2 linked regions of the Lonchura striata genome follow. The protein of the gene in region 1 binds, or shares a complex with, the protein of each later gene. Links are inferred from orthologs where the notes say so. Each region holds a gene or a part of one and is shown in the gene's direction. Other genes may lie near its edges.

The links.
Region 2: the proteins of ITGAV (region 1) and ITGB6 are in contact, whole or in part, in a crystal structure (PDB 9CZA), measured with the Homo sapiens proteins. The link is inferred for Lonchura striata from reciprocal best matches to the Homo sapiens genes ITGAV and ITGB6. Residues at the interface, in NP_002201.2 of Homo sapiens: Tyr48, Phe51, Lys72, Trp123, Leu141, His143, Gln150, Glu151, Arg152, Pro154, Asp178, Ala179, Phe184, Gln186, Phe189, Pro204, Tyr208, Trp209, Asp249, Tyr251, Tyr254, Pro274, Arg275, Arg278, Thr279, Met302, Ala303, Tyr305, Phe308, Pro328; in NP_000879.2 of Homo sapiens: Ser183, Pro184, Phe185, Lys187, Thr188, Thr189, Pro190, Ile236, Asp237, Thr238, Pro239, Asp273, Ser274, His275, Phe276, Gly277, Met278, Asp279, Lys281, Leu282, Ala283, Gly284, Val286, Pro288, Glu308, Thr311, Ile312, Gly313, Gln314, Ile316.

The regions. Positions count from the first base shown.
Region 1 is NC_134610.1:31,993,511-32,005,311, reverse strand, and holds the start of ITGAV (integrin alpha-V), read left to right. Parts: upstream 1-6,411; 5' UTR 6,412-6,445; coding exon 6,446-6,600; intron 6,601-10,358; coding exon 10,359-10,486; intron 10,487-11,801.
Region 2 is NC_134610.1:16,543,054-16,554,854, reverse strand, and holds the start of ITGB6 (integrin beta-6), read left to right. Parts: upstream 1-6,074; coding exon 6,075-6,135; intron 6,136-6,869; coding exon 6,870-6,949; intron 6,950-9,751; coding exon 9,752-9,956; intron 9,957-10,819; coding exon 10,820-11,066; intron 11,067-11,801. UniProt on the Homo sapiens protein: Integrin alpha-V:beta-6 (ITGAV:ITGB6) is a receptor for fibronectin and cytotactin. It recognizes the sequence R-G-D in its ligands. Internalization of integrin alpha-V/beta-6 via clathrin-mediated endocytosis promotes carcinoma cell invasion.

The DNA.
Region 1 (11,801 bases):
CAGTGTCAGTTCATGTTATTACCATCTTATAGTGCTTTTGTATTTGAGTAAAAGAATATTCAGAGTATTGGATAGAAAGGAACTCTATTCTTCCCTGTCTTTCAATCCTACTTGCTCTGCATCCTGTTCTTATTTTGTTATCTAAGTCTTCAACATGTTTAAAGTCAGAGCTTGTTACTAAACACAGAGCAGCCTGAAGAATTATTCCTTTCCCAGGGAATTTGAAAGTTTTAAACTTGTTTTTGTTCCAAATCCTTCAACAGGAATGTGGAAGCATTGCTGTAATACAGGAGCACTGGAGTACAGATGCTTCAAGGCAGATGTGGCATTATGTGCCTGGAATGATCAATTAAAAAACCAACATGACTGCTCTGTGAGTCTGAGCCTTGTTAGATTCCTTTGAAAATGCATGATGAAAAACATTGTAGAAAAAATTAGAAAGTTCACGGAAAAAAATTAGAAAAAACTAGAAAGTTTGGGGAAAAGATTCAAAAGAAGCTGTCATTTGTACTAAACAGGAGATGATTTGCACTAAGGACAGGGATAACAATATCTCAGGGATACAACAGGAAGCAGTGGTCTCTGGTATTTCTGTATAACCAGAAGCAGTCAAGAATGTAAGAAACCTAGGAAATGCCTCTTGTCATCTGGAAATTTTCCATAAATGGAAATAAACTAGAAAGTGACCTAGTGCTTATAGAGCCTGTGTGAGGGGAAGTGCTTTGTTACTCTATCTCAGCAGAATACTGTTCCACAAGATTTTCTGCCAGACATAGGCATTTCCACTTTCTAAATAAAACCTGGGTGCACACTTGCCATGGATAATGGACTCAGCAGAAAGGACAGTACTTAAAATAGTATGAAAACAGTGGCAGGCAAAAGAAGAGAAAGGTTCTTAGGAAGGAGATTAGGATATAACTAAGAATAAGATGATGGCAAAAATAAATAAGCCTCTTTCTCACCTTCGGGGAACTGCATAAAAGCAGCATGTTCTGGAGGGTCTTTGTGAATGTAAAAAGGTAGAGTTAAAATTCATGGTATCCAGCAAGCAGTGGATCTTCCTTCCAGGAAAGGCAGGAGGAAGTGGAGGAGAGAGTGATGGAGAGATGGGAGGTGTTATGGACAAAAAGAAAACTTTAAAGTAAGAAAAAAAGGAGGCCAGTTATTGTTAACAAGATTCCCCAAAAGTTTTTTTTTTTTTTTTTTTTGTTCATAACAGGAGGGATGACTCTTTGTTTAATCAAGTGTACTGTTAGCACTCCAGTATTAATTGTGACTATTGTGTGTTTACAAGCTTTGCTGGATACAGGCAGAAGGGTGGATTAGGAAAAAGTGCAGCTCCAGGTGCAGTTCTGTGCAATGGAATTCACCTGTAAAGGAACAATCACTGCAGGAGTAACTCACATGGGAGCTGGAGCTTTCCATCTCGTGGGCTGCTGTCCAGGTCAGACATTTCAGAGGGATGGGAGAAGCAGGAACTTTCATACACAATACACTTATTTCTTGTGAGACAAGCACACAGTCTGTTGATTTCAATGTGCCATCTCCTTTCCCACTCTAGGAGCAGAAGGCCAATTCCATCACACTCTCTAGATCAGCAAATTCTCTCCATCTCCTTCTAAAAAGCTTTCCTGAGACCTTTCCCACCAGGACACCCAAGAGCCCCCTGTCTCCATGGCTCTCTCCTGGGAGCTCCATCGCTGTGACTACCCAAGAGCACTGCCCTCCACTCCTGGGGGTAGGTGTGGTGACTTCCTAGGCCTTTCCCTCTGGGCTGGTGTGTTCCCACACCCTCTTCCTTAACAGAGCAGGGTGGTATTTAGCTTTTTGTCTCCCTTACACCTTCTATATGCATCATATTATGGAAACGTTTTCAGAGAGATTGTGCAGAGAATAATGGATGATGGAGCTTGTTGTTTAGTTTTTTTTTCCTGATTTCTCCCTTATTGCATTGTTTCCTGTCACAATTTCTTTCTAGGGGTAAAGTACTCTCTAAAAGTATCTTTTAAAAATATCTAAGTCTTTGGGGGTGTTACTGAGCAGCATCTGGATCTATTTGTTTGGTAATCTGCTGAAGTGCTTTGTGAAGCAAAAACTGAGTCACATGTGATTTATAATGACCAGCTTTGTCAGACTGAATAAATATGAATCCTTGGGTAAATCAAGTAGTGCTGTTCCTGAATTTGGTGCTGTGAAATCCTAATGTTAAAAAAAGGCCTGGTGAGTAATGAGCACCCTATAAAACACAAAAAGGCTATTGCAGAAAGACTTTGACTAACAGTGGAGTAATACAGCTGTCAATATTGAGCAAATCAGACAAGAACTGGGTACAGCTCACTTCCTTTTGATCTGGGAGATCTTAGACTCTGTGCTAGGAGCTGGTTTAACAAATGTAGCAGCCATACTCTTGTTGTGAAAGCATTGCCCCATAGCCCCGGGCTAAGGACAGCTTTTGCTAACAGCCAAATGAGATTTGGCTCATGTGAATTGCTCATAGGAGCAATAGAGCAAATCAAGCCCAAACATCTCTAGTGGTTTCCTCCTGTTTCTCCACTGAATGCTTCCAGTTTTCAGATGTAATGTTTGATTTTTCCCAATGGATATCAAAGATAATATTAAACAAAATAGAAGTAATAAGGCACAACCTGACCAAAGCAAACTAATAGGTAAAGTCCATCTTTTACTTTGGTTTCTACTGCCTTGTTAGAAACTGAGTTACTTCTTAAAAGGTCTGTTCAGAGCAGCTAAGCCTCTTGAAAAGCTCAAACGTCTGGATGGCATGAGAGCAAAATACTTACTAGAACTCTCACATCAATGAAGGCTTTTCTGGGACACTAATAGTCTTGATGAATAAATGAGTGCTGATCCTTTGCTCCAGATATTCATTCTGCTGGTACTGTAAAGCACCAAATCCACTTAGAGGCTGAATTTTATTGCTTAAATACAGGACCTCTTGCTGACCGTTTGAAGTAGGACCACAGTGGTTTGCACATTTGCAGTTTCTACTGAATTGTGGCACTTAGTCCATTTCCTTGCTGCTACCTTTCCTGTCATGAGGTATAGACTCAAAGGAGAAACATTCTGAAATACTCTGTTACAGGCTGGACACTCAGGAATAGCAAAAATAAAAACCCAAAAAAAACTGCCTACCAAAAGTTCTTTGCATCTTGCAAAGTTTTATTCAGCTGTATTAATAGCTTGTTATCTGAATAAAAGCTAATAAGACCATAACTTGTAACAGAAATATGAATTTGGTCTGTTGCATAGAGTTGCAGTCTTTAGACTCCAGTCAATTCCTAAATAATTGCATTCTGTTTTGAATATAATCGAAAAGTTTGGTGTCTATGAAGCAATCCAAGTGCTGCCCACTTCTTAGTTGTTGTCTTTTCACCACCAGATATCTTAGCCTGAGAACTGAAAGCTACAGGTAACAAGTAAATGTAGAAACACATAATTAACTTGTTTACATTCTATAATATGATCTCATTGGCTGTTCCTTATCTGTATGTTAGTCATGCTGAGAACGGAACCAACTAGGAAAGAAAATCACATCCTCGCTGGAAGGGTGTTTGCTGCTCTACATAAACAGGATTGTGTCAGGCAGGGTAACTCGATGCAAGCCCCGGAATCAATCACTCACTTTCTGTCATTTACAGTAAGATTGGCTTTGATTGGAAGCGCATCCCAAGCCTGTGCGCTTCATTTGCTTTTCCCACGAGGAGGCTGGGGGCTGTGATGCCCTCCGGGGAGCTGTGGCTCGGCTCTGGGGCTGTCTAGACTGCTCGACTCCGCCTGTGCTGTGACCTGGGGCCAGGCGGCAGCGCCGCCGCTTCCTGCAGCCCCGGTGACTCAGTCCCTGCGAGCGGAGCCCTGCCCGGGGCTGAGGCAGGGCACCTTGCACTGCCCAAAGGGGCACGGAACACACGCAGCAGCTGCGAAAGAACAACCCTCTTGAAGGGAGAGAAGCGTTTGGGATGAGGGATGAGTGCCCCTGACTCTTGAGTTGCTCCTATGGACTGGCTTTGCGATTTCTGACAACAAGGAGCGCTGCGCAGCCACTCCCTAGGAAGCCAAAATTGGTTTAATAAATTGTAGTGTCTTAAAGATATCTTATCCTTCACTGCTTGTGTGATGTTGTGAGGTTATACAGTCCTTAGGAAGCCAAAACTGATCATTTGGTTAAAAAAATTCTCATAACTTAAAGATAATTTATCCTTCATTTATCCTTCGCTGCTTATGTGATGTTGGGGAGTTATACACTCCCTAGGATGCCAAAATTGATCATTTGGTTAAAAAATTTTTAGTATCTTAAAGCTTAATTTATCTTTCACTGCTTGTGTGATGTTGTGAGGTTATCCAGTTCCTAGGAAGTCAAAATTGATCATTTGGTTAAAATTTTTTTAGTATCTTAAAGCTAATTTATCTTTCACTGCTTGCGTGATGTTGTGAGGTTATCCAGTTCCCAGGAAGCCAAAATTATCATTTGGTTAAAAAAATTCTAGTGTCTTAAAGATAATTTATCCTTCGCTTGCTTGTGTGATGTTGTGAGATTATCCAGTCCCTAAGAAGCCAAAATTGATCATTTGGTTAAAAAAATTTCTCATATCTTAAAGGTAATTTATCCTTTGCTGCTTGTGTGATGTTGTGAGGTTATCCAGTTCCTAGAAAGCCAAAATTATCATTTGGTTAAAAAAATTCTAGTGTCTTAAAGATAATTTATCCTTCACTGCTTGTGTGACGTTGTGAGGTTATTCAATCAAGTAGAGAAAATAAATCCTCCTTTTCCTAAGTTACTGATTTACTGATCAAAGTACTCATAAACTACTCTTTAGTTTATTGCCCTATTTACTAATGTTTGGAAACTTATTAACTCATCTGTAGTTTTGCTTTGATCAGGTCTGTAGTATAAAAGCTCTGAGACAAGTCAGTAAATAACAATAAAAGTAATGTGGAGTTTGGTTGGTTGGTTGGGTTTTTTTTAATATGTTGAGGGGGCAGCAAACTTAGAAAAATTAGCAACAAGCATCAAGTTTATGTATAGGAACTCCCTTTCTTGATAGAATTTTTAAGGTGACTTCCCAAAGAAATTATAATTAATAGCGAGAACAAGTGAATGGAACAGAGGAGTAGCTGGTGATTCTTTGGGTTTTCCTCTGCTTATCGTAGAAATGTTTTTATTTTGGGATTCCCATTAGACTAAATCAGTCCCTTGGTAAATATGTATGGGGTATTTTTAGCTTTTATTTAAGGCTTGAAACATCATTGTTTGTTCTGTCCCTTTTTATCATGCTCACAATGAGGAAAACAAAAAGTTTAGACTTTTGGTGGCAATATACTCCAGTCCTGTTATGTTGTACAAATTAATATGAATTTTTTGCTCTTTGTAGGTGTTCATTGTGTTTTGTTTTACCTGAGACACTGCTATCTATACTCAGCAGATGTTGAACTCTCTTACAGGCTGAGGAGGGCGAGGCTAGGATGGGTTTGACAGCAGCCTGCAGCTGGCTGAGTCGGGATGATAGTGCTAAAATGTTATTAGTGAGCGATGATACAAGAGCTCCAAACCACAACTGAAGAGATTGGAGCTGTGCTGCGTGGTTCTTCCCTAGGTGGGTAGTGCAGGGGTGCAACAGTAACAGGGACCTCCATCAGGGAGGATTTACAGGCTCCCTCTTCCCTGCCTTGCACCTGCTGCTGGGCATTCCTGTGGCTGGGGAGGTGCTGTGACCCTGGGATTTAAAATTACTTCATTTAATAGCCTATGTATTTGAAAATCGAGATTTTTTTTTTTTTCCTCCATGGCTGGCTCCACACTGGCACTCCCTTCACTCCTTGCTTAACAGCTTTGCTGAAAGACTTGTTCAGAAAGGCTTCACCAAACAGACTTGGTAAAGCCAGGCAGGGATGCGTGCCCCTCTTCAAATTTCTAGCACTCTTTCATAGGATGATACAATGGTTTGGGTTGGAAGGGACCTTAAAGACCATCTCATGTCAGCCCCTGCCGTGGGCAGGGACACCTTCTACTATCCCAGGTTGCTCCAAGCCGTGTCCAACCCGGGCAGGGATGGGGCAGCCACAGCTGCTCTGGGCAACCTGTGCCAGGGCTTCACAAGGAAGAATTTCCTTGACCTTCCTCCAGCCTTCGTCTCGGGCGGAGAGAACAGTGGGATGCTTGGAGCGAGGGCAGCTCCGGGCCCGGAGTCCCGCCGGAGCCGGGCCGTGCCGGGCGCTCCCCGCCCGCTCCCGGCGGAAGAGCGCGGCGGCCCGGGCCCGGAGCGGCCAGGGCCCGCCCCCGGCACCACATGATGCCGCCTCTCCTTCCTGCCGCCCCCGTCCCGGCGAGAAGGGGGAAGTGACCGCGCCGCGCTCCCGCCCCGCCGCGGGAAAGGCGCGGGGCCGGCGCGTCCCGGCAGAGCCGCGCCCGCGGAGCAGCGCGGGCCGGGCCATGGCGCGCCTGGGCACGCTGCTGCTCCTGCTGGGCGCCGCGCTGGCCCCGGGCAGCGCCTTCAACCTGGACGTGGAGCGCCCGGCCGTCTACTCGGGCCCGGCGGGCAGCTACTTCGGCTTCGCCGTGGACTTCTTCGCCCCAGACCCGTTCTCGTAAGTGCGCGTCCCGCCCGCCCGCCGAGCCGCTCCCCGCGGAGCCCGAGCAGGGCGGCGTTGTCCCGGCGCGGGGCGAGAGCCGGCGAGGATGGCGAGCTGCCCCCGCCCTCAGCAGCCCGGGCGGGCCGGGCGGCTCTCGGAGGGGACGCGGCTTTGCTCAGGCCCCGGAGCGGGGCTGGAGCCGGCGCCTGCCCCCGGCGCTGCCCGGCAGGGACCGCTCCGCATCCCTCCCCTGGCCGGGGAGCCAAAGGCGATCCCGAGCGGCCGCGGCTGCGGTGGGGCAATGAACCTTGCGCTGCGGGATTCTCTGCACAGCCTGGTCTCATGCGAATGATGGTGGCGATAAAAACAGTGTAGAAAGATGTAGTTATGGTACTTTGTTTGCTGAAGCTGTGTCCCGTGGCATTTGAGAAAACCTGCTGTTTTCTCTTTGGGTGTGCTTTGCGGGAATGTTGTTTGAATTGTGGTGAGTCTGTGCGAGTCAGCAAGCTGCTGAGGAGTCTAGAGAAAGAAAAGTTCCATACAAGCACCCTCCACGTCTGCTTCCTGAATATGTTCCCGTTTCATGTTAAACATTAGGCAGAGTGTAGTCGCTGTTGCGTTTCAGACCTTTGAATCCTTGTGTCACTAACTCGCACAGCCTCGGTGTTGCCAGAATGAATCAGGCTCTGGCTCTGAAATGCGGGCTACAGTAAAACCAGCTTTTGTCACTTCTCTCCCACCCCTCTCCCATCTTAAGGACTGTAAAATTGGAAAAGTTGCTGGCTTTGATCCTGCTAAGGAGGTATTCTCTCCCCCCCCCCCCCCCTTAATCTTTAGCTTGTAAAACTTTATAAGCAAATTGTACAGCTATTGAGCAAGTCTTTCTGCAGTACATCATCTAGCTTTGTTTGAATTTTTTTATGACGTACATATATTAGAAGCCAGCCTGTCTTAACTTGCACATGTTGCACCATCTTTCTCCACTATCTTAATCCTGTAAGTCTTGGTACTAAAAGAAAAAAACTTCTATTTTTGTCCCGCCCTTTATTTTTAAGTCAGCATGTGTGGCCTGCAGTTATCAAGAGACTGGTAAATGCATGTAATAAACTTTCTTCCCTGCTTTCTGATAAGGAATTATGTGACACAACTCTCCATGAAATCACTATTTGGAACCTTTCCATTATTTTTATAAGAACTATTGACCTCAAATTGCACTGCTATTAAAGAAAACAGTGTGGTTGTCAGGCAGCATGAAAAGCTTCTGTATATTTCAAAGGGAATTCTCACCTTTTTTTTTTTTTTTTTTTTTTTTTTGGTCATCACTAGAAGTTTGTTTGTATCTCCATTTAAGTTCTTAATTGAATCAAGTAGTTCTGCAGCTTTCAGAGGAACAGGCTCTAGTGGTGTTAAATTTTCAGTTTATGCCTATGGCCACTGATATCTTGTCTCCTGAAATAGCCAGAAATACTTCTATGCAGTGTCCAGGCTTGTGCGGCGTCACAAGGTTTCACGCCTTTCTTTTTGCTTTGGTGAGCTTTTCTTCATCACCTGTTTTATCCATGAGTACCAGAGATTAGATCAGTTTCGCTGGGCTAAAGCTTTTTGGATTGTCTAGCCTGACAACAAAGGCATGCTGTTAGTTCCTGAATGCTCCAGCTGCTGTTTCACAGTCTATTTTGACCTGCTGGATGCCAGACTGAAGCATATTTAGAAGTCCAGGTTGAAAGTCCTAACGCAGGCGTGGAAGTGATGGTGCTGTGCCAGGCAGGGGCTGTGTGCTGCCTGGCAGTGGGTGTAGCTTTCACAGGAGCACAGCTCCCTGACAGCTGGAGCAGGTTTGTCACACCCCCTCTTGTTAGTCCAGCGTGCACCTCCATGGAAGCCCCAGCTCCTCTGTTGGCCCTGGAAAGCCCTGGAAAGGGGCTGTTCCTGTAGGCACACCAAAGGTGCCAGAACACTCCTGGTGTTGCCCCAGCGTTGGGATGGGGTGGGTGCTTCAGGAGCATGATACAGGAAATTGGCAGTATCAAAGCATAGCTGGTGTATTCCCATGGAAATGCAATTGTCCCTCTATTCTGTATGTGCATTAGCGACTTCTAAGTATTTGGGTAATTTGCATATTATTAGAAGAGCTGTGACAAAATCGGCTTGCTTGGTCTCTGATGATGAAAATGCATTTTGGGGAAAAAACCTTTGTGGAACCACATAATGGTTCCTTTATTTGTAATTTTTTTAATAAACTTCATCACAAATGTTAGCTTAATAAAAATTTAAAATATATAATTAGAATTGGAATGAATAAATCTTTTAAATAAGCGTCATTGGAGGACTTCTCAAAAGTCAGTGGTACAAGAGTAAAATGGGAGGTAAGCTACCACTTTTTTAATAGGTGGTAATTATAACAATTTATATGTTTCTTTACTTGGCATTATAATGTTCATTTTTAAGCATTTCTGTTCTGCTCAGAGAGCTGATTTTAAACTGATTAAAATGTTTCAAAAATCTAAACAGTCTAAGAATGGCAACTCAGGAAAACAAATGGATTGCCAGCTAGCCTGGATTTTCTATCAGGGTCCATGCCAGGACATTTTTATGGTTCTGAAAATTCACACAGGTTGAAAACTGGTAGGTCTTCATGCAAACTGAGCTTTGATAAGGTGCTATATGTTTATACCTATACTTATCTCTCTACTGGAAAGGAGCCTGGAGATGATTCTGAAAACCAAAGCAAGTTTGATAAGCCTGGGTTTGCCTGCCTGCAGCCATTCTCTCCAACCAGTCCTGCAGCTTGTTCAGCTAACCAGTTTCCAAACTAGAGAACTGTAGTGCCTGACAAGACCTGCTCTTGCAAGCTGCATTCCCTCTTAAGCAGTAAGCCACAGAGCAGAATGATTATAGTGTAAGGAAGCACTAGATTTTGTCTTCTAAGCATGACTTCATGCTTCACATTGACTTTCTCAGGCAAATGCTGATGAGTGAAGTGGGGTCTCAGAGGTGCTGGGGCTCCTGGAAGGTCCTGGAAGATGCCAAGAGCCTTGTTCAGTGTTTCTTACTTTGACACGTCTGAATTTTGCCACCTGTGCAGGCACAGTTTCGAGGCAGTTCCTGCTCGGGGTGCACGGAACAAGTGCCTGTAAAGCAGAGGTGCAGAAAAGCACAGCAGATGCTAACAAGAAAATGATGCCTGTGCAGTGGGTGTGGGTAAGGACTCATTAACATGCAGATCTGTGGCTCGGAGTGGCTGGCACTTGGAGATTGTTTTTACAGGAGCACTTGCTCAGGCAGGGCTGACTCATCACGTTCAGTACATGCTGAGCTCCCAGAGCACTGCTGCTTTGTTTACATATTGTTTCCATTTTGACTGACTTCCCTGAATTACCCTTACAAAATTAACAGAAATTATGCCACCTGATGGCTTTCGTAAGGTGCAGAAGTACACAATTTCCTGCTCTGCTGTACACATACATATTTTTGAAATGAAAAAAGAGCATGAAAGGTGTTTCTCTCATTTAAAATATAATCCTAAGGAAGCCTGGATACTTTAAATTTGTAATATCTTTTTTTTTCCTCTACTTTTGGTAAATTAAGTTTTTTTGCATGCTTTTGATGCAGAAAAGAGAACCTCATATGAATTTCTCTGTAACTGAGAGTAGTTGGAGTTGGATTTAGATTAGAGTAGATTTCTGCTTTATTGATTCTTCAGATGTCATAAAGTTATAACAGCTGTGCCTTAAGTGTTGAAACCTTTGTTTTGCTTCTTCTTTTTCCTGCAGGACGTATCTCCTGGTGGGAGCTCCGAAAGCAAACACTACCCAGCACAACATCGTAGAGGGAGGGCAGGTGCTCAAATGCAACTGGAACTCCAACAGGAACTGCCAGCCCATTGTGTTTGATGCCACAGGTAATGTGTGGGTGGGAGGAGATGGAATATCTCTGCTCTGATGCTGCTGTGGGGAAGCAGAAAGGTTTCATGTCCCTCTGGGATATTTCATGGTCATTGTGAATGTGGTTGGTTTTTGACTGGCAGCTAGTCAAGGCGTGCTTGTGCTTTCCTTTTCCTCTCCTCTCTGTTAGAATTCTGTTGTCCCTGGTATGTGCTGAAAGCCTGAGTGAGCAAACATTATTCTTCTTGTGTTTTAACCTATTTATATTTCTCCTCTGTACTTTTCAGCAATCCTAAAACATTTGGCAACCTAATTCCCAATGAACCCTGAGGGGTTTTCTTCCTATTAAGAATGTGTCATATGAGGAAAGGTACTTTCAATATCAGCAAAGGTGGTTTAGGCAGAAATACCCAGAAGTTTCATCTAAAACTAGGAGTATGTCCTAAAAACTGTGGAGAAAAAATGTATTTTTAAATTTTTTCCCCTCAGATATAGCTCCACAGTGTTTGTGGCTTATATGATAGCAGCACTCAGGTAATAGGCATTCCTTACCCTGTGCTGAAGCACAGAAGAGCTGAGCAGCAGCAGTGTGGACGTGAACAATTTCAGCCATTCTTCATGCTCTGGTGCACACAGTGATTTCCACAGGCTGTGGCAGGTCATGAGAATGCACTGCATGTGCTTTTCTGCTCCAGCCACTCGCTGCTGAATCCTGTTTTCCACAGCATGTTTCAGGGCAGCAGAAAAACCTCCCCATGTCATGGGAGGGGATTAGCAAGACCCATATGGTAAGGCAGAGGAAACACCTGTGCCTTGAAGATCTGGTTGGTTGTAATTCATTCTTGCCTCTGCCAGTGTTTTGACTTGGCAGTCTAGAAGTTGCTAGAATGATGCAGCCTTTTTAAATTGTGTGCAGTAGAGTGGAGAAGCTCTTCTTCCAATTCCACTGTCAAGGTATGCCACAAAACACTGTTGGTATTCAGATTCCTGAAGTCTTCATATCTTTTTGTGAAAACCACTATGTCACCAGTTCCATTGCAAAAAAACACAAAGAAAAGATGTTTGCAATGGCACCCACAAACCCCAAGTCATTATCATTCCCTCATATCATTCAGTAGGAGTATATCTGTCAGATTACTAAAAATCTCTAATAAGCTGCAAAGTCTGACATTTTTTTCTGCATCAGTGTCAAAGCAGCAAAACCAGATTATAACTATCTTCTTGTTGTTGTTCTCTGGGCTTTTTGTTTACTAGAATACAAGTGTACATTTTGTTAGTGTGGGTGCTTTTAAGAAAAAATCTCGATGTCCCTAGTTAATAATCATCATTAAT
Region 2 (11,801 bases), about 15 Mb from region 1:
TAAGAATAAGGCAAGATTTATAAAATACAGTAATAATTTACACTGATAAAGATATTGCAAATGATTCCTGACACTTCAGAAGCTTGTAACCAAGCTTATAACAAAGACAATGGAAGTAACGTTCTGTTTAGTGTGAGAAATGGAATTTGGAAAAAGGATGCAAACCAAATTACCATTCTAATATAACATAAGTGAATAAATAGTTTTACAAAGATGTGAATCTCTTCAAAGGTTTTTATATAAGTCACAAAGCAAAATATTGTTAAAAGCTAATAGGACTCTCAGTATCACCTTTTTCTGACGAGTTTGAGAGTGTTCATTTTTCTCCTCCATCGGATCAGAGTAGCCATAAGATGGCAGCACTCTGCACAAAAGGTTTCTGAAACCATAAATTATGCTATTTTCTCAAAAAGAGACGGCAGCTGCTGGCGAGGATGAGTGGCCTGAGTGCTGGGTGTGTGTTAATGGAACCAAACTGGCCAAGCCCAGAATAGCTCTGGGAGGCTCCAGAAATGGAGCTGCTTTCATGCAGTACCTGAGCCCACTTTCCTTTGTATTTATCAGCTGGTTGGGTGCTAGGCTAAGAATTCTGTTTTGGTTATTCTAAAATAACTTTATTCCAACTCTGGGTTTTAGCAAAGCACTATACATCTGTAGGTCTAAGTACAGGAAGGATAGCTATAAAATTATTTTCTGTGCATAAGACCAGAGTAGAATCACATTTTTTCAAGTGATTTAATCCCAGCTTCATAGTTTAGAATTTATATATGGGCGGTCAGGCCTGAAGACATTGTGCTTACCCAACCTTACAGTCTTTTCCAAAAGCAAGCCAGCCCTGCTGCAGGGCTGGGATACAGGTTTGTCTTTCCCTTGGTGATAAGGCCATCACCTTGTCCCTTCTGTGATGGGGCCTGCAGGTATGGCTTGAATTTAGCATTAATCTCAACAAAGAAAGTTATGAAAAGCTCTTCAGCTAAAGTGCAGGGGTCTGAGGAGCTGTGGAGTCAGTGCTCAATGTAGTTCCCATCTGCAGCATGATCCCCCACCAGCACTGAGCTTGCTCTGCTGTCTCTGCCCCACATTCTTATAGTGTAGGGAAAGCAAGGGGTGCTATGTAACTAAGAAAAGCACACATAAACCAAGGTGAGTTTTGATGGGATGTGTGCAAGTCCCTGGCATAATTAGGGTGTTGTGGGCTAGTTGGCAGTCCCACTCCATTTTCCTACAAGTTCCACCTGAGCCCTTCTGCAGTTCAGAGATCTGATTATTTATCTTTGAGTGTGAGAGTGTTTTCAAATCTGAAAACCAAACAAATCTTTCACGTTGCTCACCCATGCCAAAAAACTGAGAACAAAGGTTTCTTCATGCCCTTGGCTGGAGACAGACAGGTCAGAGCTGTGGGCAAGGTGAATACAAGTTGAAAACACCCTGAGTTTCCTGCCTGCTGCTCACTGTACAGTTGGAGAGCAGCCCCTCCTTCCTTCTCTGCCCCTCTGCTTGTTCAGGGACAGGCTATTGACTTCATTCCCTGCCCTCCTCTAACACTGTTCCGGAAACAAGAGGAGACCAGAGCATGAATCACAACCTGAGTCACCGATTCCCAACACCTTGTTTTGCTCAGAGCTGGAGGGGAAAATTCCTCTCTTCTGTGTGATTCTCCATCTCCTGTGACCCTCCAGAAGAGGCTAAAAACACCCCCACTCTTCTTCCAAAACTGCACTCCATCGTGTGTAGCCATGCTGGCAAACAGCACCTGGAGGTTAGGAGAGACCAAATCTCCCTGGGCTCTGTGGCAGTGTTTTGGTCATAGGCCCCTAATGGAATATGGTATTAGCACACCCCAAAACACAGGAGCTGGAATGAACCAGCTCCATCACAGTATGTTCAGAACTTTCCTTTCAGCAAGCTCCAGGTCACCCATAGAGGACTCAAAAGCTTACAGCAGTTTCTTTGAATGTATGTAATTTTCTGTTGGAGCAATACCCATGTCCCACCATGATGATTAATAAAGAAAGAGAGAGCAGATGTATCAACTGAAAAAAAAAAAAAAAAAGGCAGCAAAATAATTAAAGAAGCAAAAGTTTCAGATTTTGCTGATTTGTTACTTTCACCTTCACTGTGAATTTCCCCATTAAATACAACTGTTTGTTAGGGATTGTTGCTTCCTCTTGAAATGTTTTTGCCAGCTCTCCCTAAAGCATTGTCAGATCTGTACTGCAGCAGAGACAGAGACAAGACAGTCCTTGCAGTGTCTGTGCAGTATTTGTGTGTGGTTTCTGTCTGTGCTGGACTGACCTGTGTGCAGAACTCTCACACCACTGTGTGGATATTCACATCATCTCTAGCTCCCTAAAGATGAACCAAAATTTCAAGCTTAGAGACTTTTTTCAGCCTTCATTGTTCAGCTAACTCACAGGCATCCTCTGAAACATTTGCCATTGCTGTACTTTGGAACTGGGTCTTATCAGACTGCTGGGGCATATATTTCTGTGCAGATTTTCCAAGGAAAAATGCTTTCCACTTCTGCTGGCCCAAGAGTATGGAAGCACTTGACTATGCAGCTATGGAACATTTGTCTTCTTTGTGAGAGAAGTGTTTTAATCCGTAGACTTTTGTAGAATCTTCACTTACTTCCTTTCAGGTTAAAAAGTTTGACTGAAGTATTAAAGTCTACTTTCATTCCCTGCTAGAGATCGTCAGGAGCTTTGAGGATTTGACTGGGAAGTCAACCAGACAGAGAATAAAGTCACCAGATGATTCAAGTACAAAGCAACATGCCTCTGGCCTAAGGAGTGCAGCCCTTTGCCTCTTCCAGATGCAGTGAGGAGTAGGAATAGGGTGGAGAGAAGGGAGACTCTGCCTCACAAACTTGAGAAAGCTTTTCTCAAGCACAAGAAGTGTCTCCCTGCACCTTTGTAAATATTGAGAATCATCTCAGCTGGGGGACACTCAGACTTTAAATGGTTCCATATTTTTCCAGGCTTTCAGGATGTGTATAACTAGATTGCTGGGAATCAAGAGCTGGCTTATGTGTGAAGCTGAGAGGTCAGGGCTATATTTGTGCCCGGAATGGAGGGAAGACTTGCATTGTTCAGCACTGCCTACACTGAATGATAAACTGTTTTCTTTTCTGATGTGTCATTTAAAAACTCTAACTCTGATTTAATAGAGACCAGAATTTCCTCCAAAATAATATAGTGGCTGACGGAAACAATCATAATTGTGTTCTTTCTCTACTGTAAACTTCCTTTTTGTTCTATCTCATAGAATCAATGCTTTTAATTTGGGTGGGTGATGCGAGACTGTATTAAAAACCTTATGAAGAATGGGAACCCTGTTGCCAAATCAAGTAATACCATGACCCCAGAGCATTTTATACATCCTTCCCACATCAGCATGGCTACTCCAGATTGAGATTCTACTCTTCTAGTGATGATTAAAGCAAATAAAGCATTTATCTAGTAGAGGAACTTCCTGGTCAACTTACCTTTAGTTTGCACAGGTGGTGTTTCAAAACAAGAATCATATGTCTGCTTCCTGTTTAGGTATTCTTACCTTGCCCAAGGTTTACTCTTGGTGCACACTGTCTCTCTTTCAGGACCTCTCTTAGGCTCCTGCTCTCAATTTTTTTTTCCTTGTCTGTTTCTGTTGTTGTTTATTCTCCTACTTTCTTTTCCTTCGCTGCTTTCTCCAGACAATCCACGGTGATCTAATAGATCTATTAATAATCTAATATATTCCTAATAATTTGCAGAAACTTAGCTATTTTATTCAGCAAAGGCTTAATTCAGATAGTCTGGCAGTCACCTCACTCAGAGGCAGGCACTTAGCTTCCGGCCATGCTATTCTTGCCAAGACCTATGCAAAATATTAACCTCACAAGCAAATGGAGAACTGATAATATCAAATAGAATTTGTAAGTTTTATATAGGATATATTACTAATTCTCTCTACACTTCAAAGTTTGATATCTTCAATCCAAGAATAAGCATTTGCTAATTGCCAGCTGTTCAGCTGACTGGTCCTTAGTTTGAGACCCTGCAGGTGTTGCTATCTTGTGGTGGCTGCAGCGCTGCCACCAAGCCCTGTGCTTTGAAGTGTTGCTGTTCCCAGGGGCCAGTAGCCCATCAGAGCTACAAGGTGACCTACACTGAAAGAGAAAGCACTGGGTTTTGGGGGTCTGCAAGGCTGTGGACATAGTAACAATCTTGAAGGACACATAGAGAAATGTCAGTCAGAGCCAGGGAAGTAGGATATTTGAGTAGCATATTACAGGGGGATGTTTCTCTTAGCAAGAGCAAACACTTTTGGTTTATTCCACTTCTTTTTGACCTTATGTAATTACATAGAGTGTTCTCATAGAGTTGTGTCTTCACCAACTGAGGGAACATAATCTAATCGATGTTTTTTTCATGCCACAGAAAATCACTGTAGCTGAGCAAGTGCCTTACAAAGGGCACTCTGAGGCATAGAGAGCAGTTGAAGGAGATTTAGGAATGTTGTAAATAGAAATGTTAAGATACGGTTTGGCAACAGCCTAAACTGGGCTAAATTTGGCCTAACAAATTCTCACCTTTCCTGTCAGTTCTGCCTTGAACTCTGGACTGGGCAGCCACAGGGTTTAAGGGACAAAACCAGATGAAAACCAGCCCTCCACCTTTCCCACAGAAGGTGATTGGGTTTGGTTGGATCAGTTTGAAACGCGGCGTGTTTGGGCATGAACGATGAGTAATAAAGAGGGTGGGAACACAAGGGCAGAGCAAAGGTAGTCCTGATGTAATCCAGGGTGAGTTGCTATTGAAATTACCCATAGTCTGTGTAAACACTAGTAAAATTGGATGTGCCTGGGAATATTTCCAAGCACTAGAATGAGATTGTCTGTGCTATTAGACTGTTAAAAAGCTCCCTGGCATGAATTTGACCTCTTCCAATCAATGCTCACTGCAAACAATTTCTGGGCACAATTTGGTTGCTAGAATTGGCCCAATAGGTACTTTGCAATCATAAACTCAGGTCTTTCTGTGCCAGTTGGCCCCAGTGCCCAGGAATGTTTTGGGCATGTTGAATTTAACTAATACAGACCCATCCCTACTTTGACTATTGCAAATCTTTATGAAAAGACAGGACTCGTCTTGAAAAAATGTTTTTTAAAACAGGCAATAACAGAGTATAAAAGATGGGAAGACATAAAATCTGGAAATAAGGAATTTTATTTTCTTTTAATAAGGTGGTAAGAAATACATATTTTGCCTTCATTTCAGGTTGGGAAGGTGGATGAGAGATAGCAATAACTTGTTATGCAATTGTTTCTGTGCTGTAGAATATTCAGCTGCTTATTAGGCAGAGTTAAGGCTACATGATTCTTTTTTCAAGTCAGTTGCTGTACTGGGAATAAAATTATTCCTCCTTCTATATATTAAAAGAATCTACAACTCCAGCATTTTCCTTTCCGTTTGGAATGTAAAAAAAAAAAAATCAATGTACTTGGTATCTTGCAGTACTGAAGCAAAGTCCTAAATTTTAATCTGCGATTAGTTTGGGTTTTTTCCCTTCACAGTTGCCTTTATGAGTTTCCCTCCACATCAGGAAATCTGAAAAAGTGGGATTTTTTTCTTCTCTCCAGGTATATACTCGGCAATCTTAATGATCCATTTTCCCTCGGGGCACAATTAAAGGTGTTCTTTTGAAGGAGCTTTAGAAGGGCTGTTGTACAGTGCAAACACGGTCTCTTGGCTGGGTTGCTCTAGGACCCAGAGTGACTGGGACTGACAGGAATCTTCACCTGAATGAATTTTCCCCGTATGCCTTATAAGGAGCCCAGGAAAACAAGGAAGTGATAACCATGTTCACGTTACTGTGTGCACAGCTTGTCCTCTCTACCTGCCCAGGTAGCCCTTGTTTTCACTTTTGTTCATGGTCCGTCCCGCTGGGTTGCAGCTTCCTCGCGATCCGGTGTACGTGACATCCCAAAACATACCCTTCGGGAATGCATGCTTTTTACGACATTCTACCTTCATGCAGACGATAATTAACAAGCTAATATTTTTTTGTCATGCAGCCAGCACTGAAAACGAATGGGGATTGAATTGCTTTGCCTCTGTTTCCTATTCCTGCTAAGAAATAACTATGTGCAAGGTAAGGCTCAGGGGCAGGGAGATCAATTTCAAAATCATTTTGCATTGTTTCTTGCTTGAAGTTGACACGAAATAGCTCTCTGCCTTCTGTATTTAATCTTTCTATTTAATGACCTTTTTTGGATAGACTGCTGTAGGGCTGCATTGCCAATTCATCTACAATTTGGTGGTCATTATATAGCGCAACAGGTTTGAAAGAGATAGACATTTGAGCAATTTCATTTTCACTAATCACAGTTTGATCTGTTAAGAATCTTTCATATTATACATATGGCTGAGTATTTCTCTGGTAGTTACACAATGGAGAAAAATCATATCAAGCATCTACGGAGCTGAGTGAAGCAATATTAAGCATAGAGAGTGAGCATAAATCTGTTCTTTTAATATCCCTGGTTATGTGGGAAATGACTTACCTACACCATACCAGAAATACATGTAACACTCTCTCAGGTGCACTGGAGGGAACAAGGTAACATGTTCTAAGTGAATGCCACCCATAAAGCATGCAAAAGGAGGTATGTTAATTGCCAGCAATTCTAAGGCTTTAATCTTTATTGTAGAGTTAATCTTTTACCAATAGAACTACTGTTAAGAAGAAATTTTATCAGTAATCCTAAATATGGCTATATATGTGTATTTTTCACCACCCACATTCTCTAGATGGCATGTTTCTTCATAAATTGAATGATTCAGCATATTATTAACAGTCTTTTATCTTCTTGGATTTAAATTCAGGGACCTGTTCTCAGGAAAGCACAGTGACTTGTGAAGATTGTTTGCTTTCCGGACCACACTGCGCTTGGTGTTTGCAAGAGGTAGAGTGATAAAAAAAAAAAATTCAAAGTAAGACTTAAGTCTTTGTAGTCACTCCAAGTGATGAAGTATTGACTTAATTGGGTCAGCCCAGGGTTTTGTAATGCATGCAGTGCTTAGTGAAGCCTTCTTGGGGAGCAGAAGTGGAATTTAATCTACTCTCCATGGTCTGTTATTCACAGTATGGTTGTTAGGATGATTGTTTATTTGTTTGTTTTCTTGTTTGAAAAAACCCACGAAAACATCAACCTTTCAAATCTAAGGCAGAAATAGAAATGTTATTAGGGGGTCTCAGGTCGTCAGCTCAAGGGCTGACTCACCCCCAGCACTGATGATGAAGCACCAGACACAAAGTCAGAGGCCAAACTGTATCTGACAGATTACATGCCAAGCCAGACAGTGCAAGCAGAAGGTTTGCAGGTATCAAGAGTATAAAAGTTTGCAGATGTAGAACTTCCATATAGAAATTATAAAACTGTGATTAATTTTAAGTATGACAATAATGTCGGATTTATAATTCATATGATATAGATATGTTTTGGCTAAAGCATTTAACTTAAAAAGTATATCTGGATTTGTTTCTTATGGCTTTGTTTCAGATTTTCAGTGCAACCCTGGGGAAGTGACTTCACATTTCTGCTTTTAAAACTTTCTTCTGTAAATGGTGCTAAATAAAATCTCCCCACTTCACAATAAATATTCTAGCTCTTAGTTCATCATCATTAACAAGATAGTCAGCTATTGCAACAGAAACTTGACAGAAATGCTAGAGAAATAAAGTATTTTTCATTTTTGTTTCTGGATTGCACCTTTGCTGCTAACAGCTTTTATTGTTTTTGTGTATAGCAAAATGACACAGTATGGGACTAAAACACTCTTTATGAAATAGCTCAGAAAGAAAAAACTGCATTTCATTTAAAAATTCTAAAAATATATATTTTGCAATTTGCAAAATATATTAACCATTGAGGTCAAAAAGACCCCACATTAGTGTGTTTGCAGTTGTTTTTATATCTGTACTATAAAACAGGATTTTGTTGAAATTGGATCCCATAATTTTGACTACTGCCATGTATTTTCAGAGAAAAAAGAGCCCAATATAATTTATTGATTCAAAAAAACCCAAAACCAAACCAAAAAAAAACCCTGTGGAACTATTGAAAAGTTCACTGTAGTAAACATGCTTTTTCTTCTTTGTTCATAAGCTCATTCATTTCTTTGTTAGAAAACAGCACATAAAGCATGCAAAAGGCATAGGAGCTTTAGTATCCAAGCATACAAAAGCACCTCTAAGGAAACCACTGTTTTCTGTAGGATAAGAACACACTTTGTAATTGTATTTGAAATATGAGGTTGTCTCTTCACACATTTTGAAAAGTTACAAACTGTGTAACTAAAGGAGACGATATGGATCTCCCTGTGAAAGGTTTATAATGGTACGTGTAATTTATGTGTGCTGTATTCAAGAAGCAGTGGGTGAGTTTTGCCTGAGCAAAGGCATCTGGTTCAGGCTGGAGAATAATAAACCACTGTTCCCAACAGGTGCCTCAACACTTCCACCAAAATATATAAGATGCCTGAAAATTTTCAGGCATGAAGGGTGATATTTTGGTGGGAAAAAAAGGGTCATAGGTCTGTTTTTAGTAGGTTTAAAGTAAATTTGTTTTGTTTTGCATGGAAAGTTTTTCAGCAACTGAATTCAGAGAATATTTGTGGCTTAATGGCTGATCCATGGGTTGCTTGCCCAGACCTAGGAGAAAAGAGCAGATGCATGGTATGGGCCCATGACTATCCACCAGAAATTTAATGTTTCAGATCTGATTCTGCCAGACATTGCCCAGGCTTTGGTCAAAAGGTCTTGCAGGCCAGAGCAGTTTCCAGGAGACAGCTGACTGATCTTGAGAATCTTGACTCTAGACAAAACTCTGGGAAATAAGGCACAGAAATAAGGTAATAAGGCACAGAAACCTCTTTGTAAAAGTAACCATTAACTTCAGCACCATGTGAGGTTAGTACCTACCCTGTAGCAGTGCTGTGGAAAGGAATGCATATCAATGCTTTGAACTGAGTAATGACAATAAACTTTGAGATATACAATTGATATTTATAGGCTTTTGATTTCCTCTGTCTGGTAGAAGGTCAAGGAAGATGCTGGGCTGAATTTAGATGTGGGATGCCGGGAGCACCACTGGTGCTGAGGAACACTGGGGACAGGCTGTGGTCATTGCTGGGCACCAGGCAGAGGAACAAGGACTTGATGCCTGCTTCAGTGAACAGCTTAAATGAGGAGAAAGTGTAGGTCAGAAAAAAAGAAACAGTAAACACTGGGTATCCACAATCTGTTTGTCACGAGTAGTCCAGGAGTTTATTATCAGCAAGACCTCTTATTTTATTAAATAGCGTGCTTCAATCAGCAGTTCTAAACTGTATAGGAAAGACTGATGCATGTGTGGCACAATTCTGTGACAGAAAAACCAGTGGCTCAGAGGGGTTTTGTGTTATCATTCCCAGTGCTGTGAGAAGCCAAATGCAGTGAGTGGCACAATTCCCATTCCCCAACAATAGAGCAGTTTCTCCCAGGATAACAAGTCGGTGTAAGTTACATTAATTATACACCTGTGTGACATGACCCATGAAGGGCAAATTTGGGTTTCTGTGCCACCTATATCTAGTTCTGCACTAATTTGCACAAACTTGGACCTTTGTTTCTATTCCCTGAGTTGGACTGACCTTTTGTGGGCAGGTGCATGTGGCTAGTCAGCAAAAACATTTAACTCATCCCTTCCTTCTCCCAATTGCATTAGAATTACACAGACTCATCTGGAATTCATGGGAGGTGTGATACCCTGGAAAATCTTTTGTCCAAAGGATGCCAGCTGAATTTCATTGAGTTCCCCATTTCAGAAGTAGAAATTCACAGAAATGATCCCCTAACTGCATCATCCCAGAAGACCAGTTCTGATGTCACACAGATTTCTCCCCAGAAATTAACTCTGAGGCTGCGACCAGGTAAGTCACAGCTCATAGGTTCATTTCAGACAGTGTGATAAACTGAAGCTTCTTAAGATTGAGCAATCTCAAAAATATCTTGACAGAATAAAGATGAAAACCTGTGTTGAGTCCAAAATTATCTGTTGACTCATCACATGACAACTAGGTTCAACTGCGTTCAGAATATTTTCAGAAGTGCTGGGTACATCATAAAAAAAAGGATATATATGTTTAGTTCCTCTCTTCTCTTGCCAGTGAGGTGGCAGGGAGAGAATGAAAGCCCCTGGCTCCTCCCCAGCCAAGCTCTGTGCCTCTCCCCTGCTGGTCTAGCAAGCAGTGACATTTATGGTAGCATTCCAGACCCACCTTGGGGTCCCTCAGATTTGAATTTTTCCTGGAGAAAATTTGGAATGAAAAAAAGCAAGAGACATCTAGTTAGGTCAGGTCATAGTGTTGGAACTGAGAATAAAATCTCTGTGTACACTCTGACTTTGTTTAAATTTTTAAAGGATATGATAGGACCCCAAAGTGCTACCTCTAGTTGTAATTAGCTTCATATCTAAATTTCCTAAAGCTGCATACTGTTGAAGAGATGTTTTCATATTTTTTTCAAATTATAGCAATTAGTTATAATTCTGTGGTTATGGTGTTACTGAAGAGCTGTTTTAAAAACACCCCAAACATTAGAACTATTTTTAATCTTTTAGACCCTTATTTGAGATTTTTTTGTTGAGAATCTTTGAAATATTTTTGCAAATGCTACTGGTGGTTTAAAATACCAGATAATTGTCACCATATTAGGTCTATGCAGAAATTGGCATTGCTCATGTTTTCTGCACAGAAGTGATGATATGTGTTCCACTTTCCCCTGACCTTAACAGGACATGCAGAAACAATACAGATCAAGGTTCGCCAGACTGAAGATTATCCAATTGATCTCTACTACCTCATGGATCTTTCAGCTTCCATGGATGATGATCTGAATACAATCAAAGAACTGGGTTCAACACTTTCCAAAGAGATGTCAAAACTGACAAGCAACTTTAGACTGGGGTTTGGATCTTTTGTTGAAAAACCAGTTTCACCATTTATCAAAACTACAGCTGCAGAAATAAAGAACCCTTGCAGGTAGGCAGGGGAAGTCCCAACATCTGTTTGCATGCCAACACTATCATAATCTTTAGGCTAAAATTAATTTCAGCGGCTTCCCTGGAAACTCTCCCCTCTTCCAGCTGCAAATGAGTCCGTTTGTGGAACAAGAGTTTGGTTCTCTTTTTCACCTTCTGATCATCATTCTGTTGAATCTTAAGTTATTAGGATAGAGGAATCTGGGAGTGAGTGAGTCTGCTTTATAGCGTTTGCTGCTCGTTACAAATGTGCTCAATATGTTAACAAAAAGGTATGTGGCATGTAGTTTTGTATTTTTTCTTTAATTTCTTTCATTTTCTAGTGAATATATATATCTAAAATAATTTTATGAATTATACTAAGGAGTTGCAAACTCAAACCCAACAGAGAATACCAGTTTCATTTAGCCATCAGTGCTGTTCTCCTGCTTTTTTTCCCCCTTAAGGTCTATCAATCTCCCCAGCCTCTGGCTGCCCTAGCTCCCAGCTAACCTGTGCAGGGGAGAAGCTGGACTCTGCAACCTGGAGCAGGACTGCAGCTGGTGGTTGTCTCTGAGTGCCATTAAGGAGCTACAGATCCCAATATGATTCTAAATATGAGATCAAGGCACAGCAGGAGGCATGGCAAGGGCTGCACGTTGGTAACTGACAGAATTACTCTGCTCTAGGAGGCATTTCCCAACCTTTCTGCAGATTTTTTCCATTGCCCAAGAGACTGAATGCTCTTTAATTATCT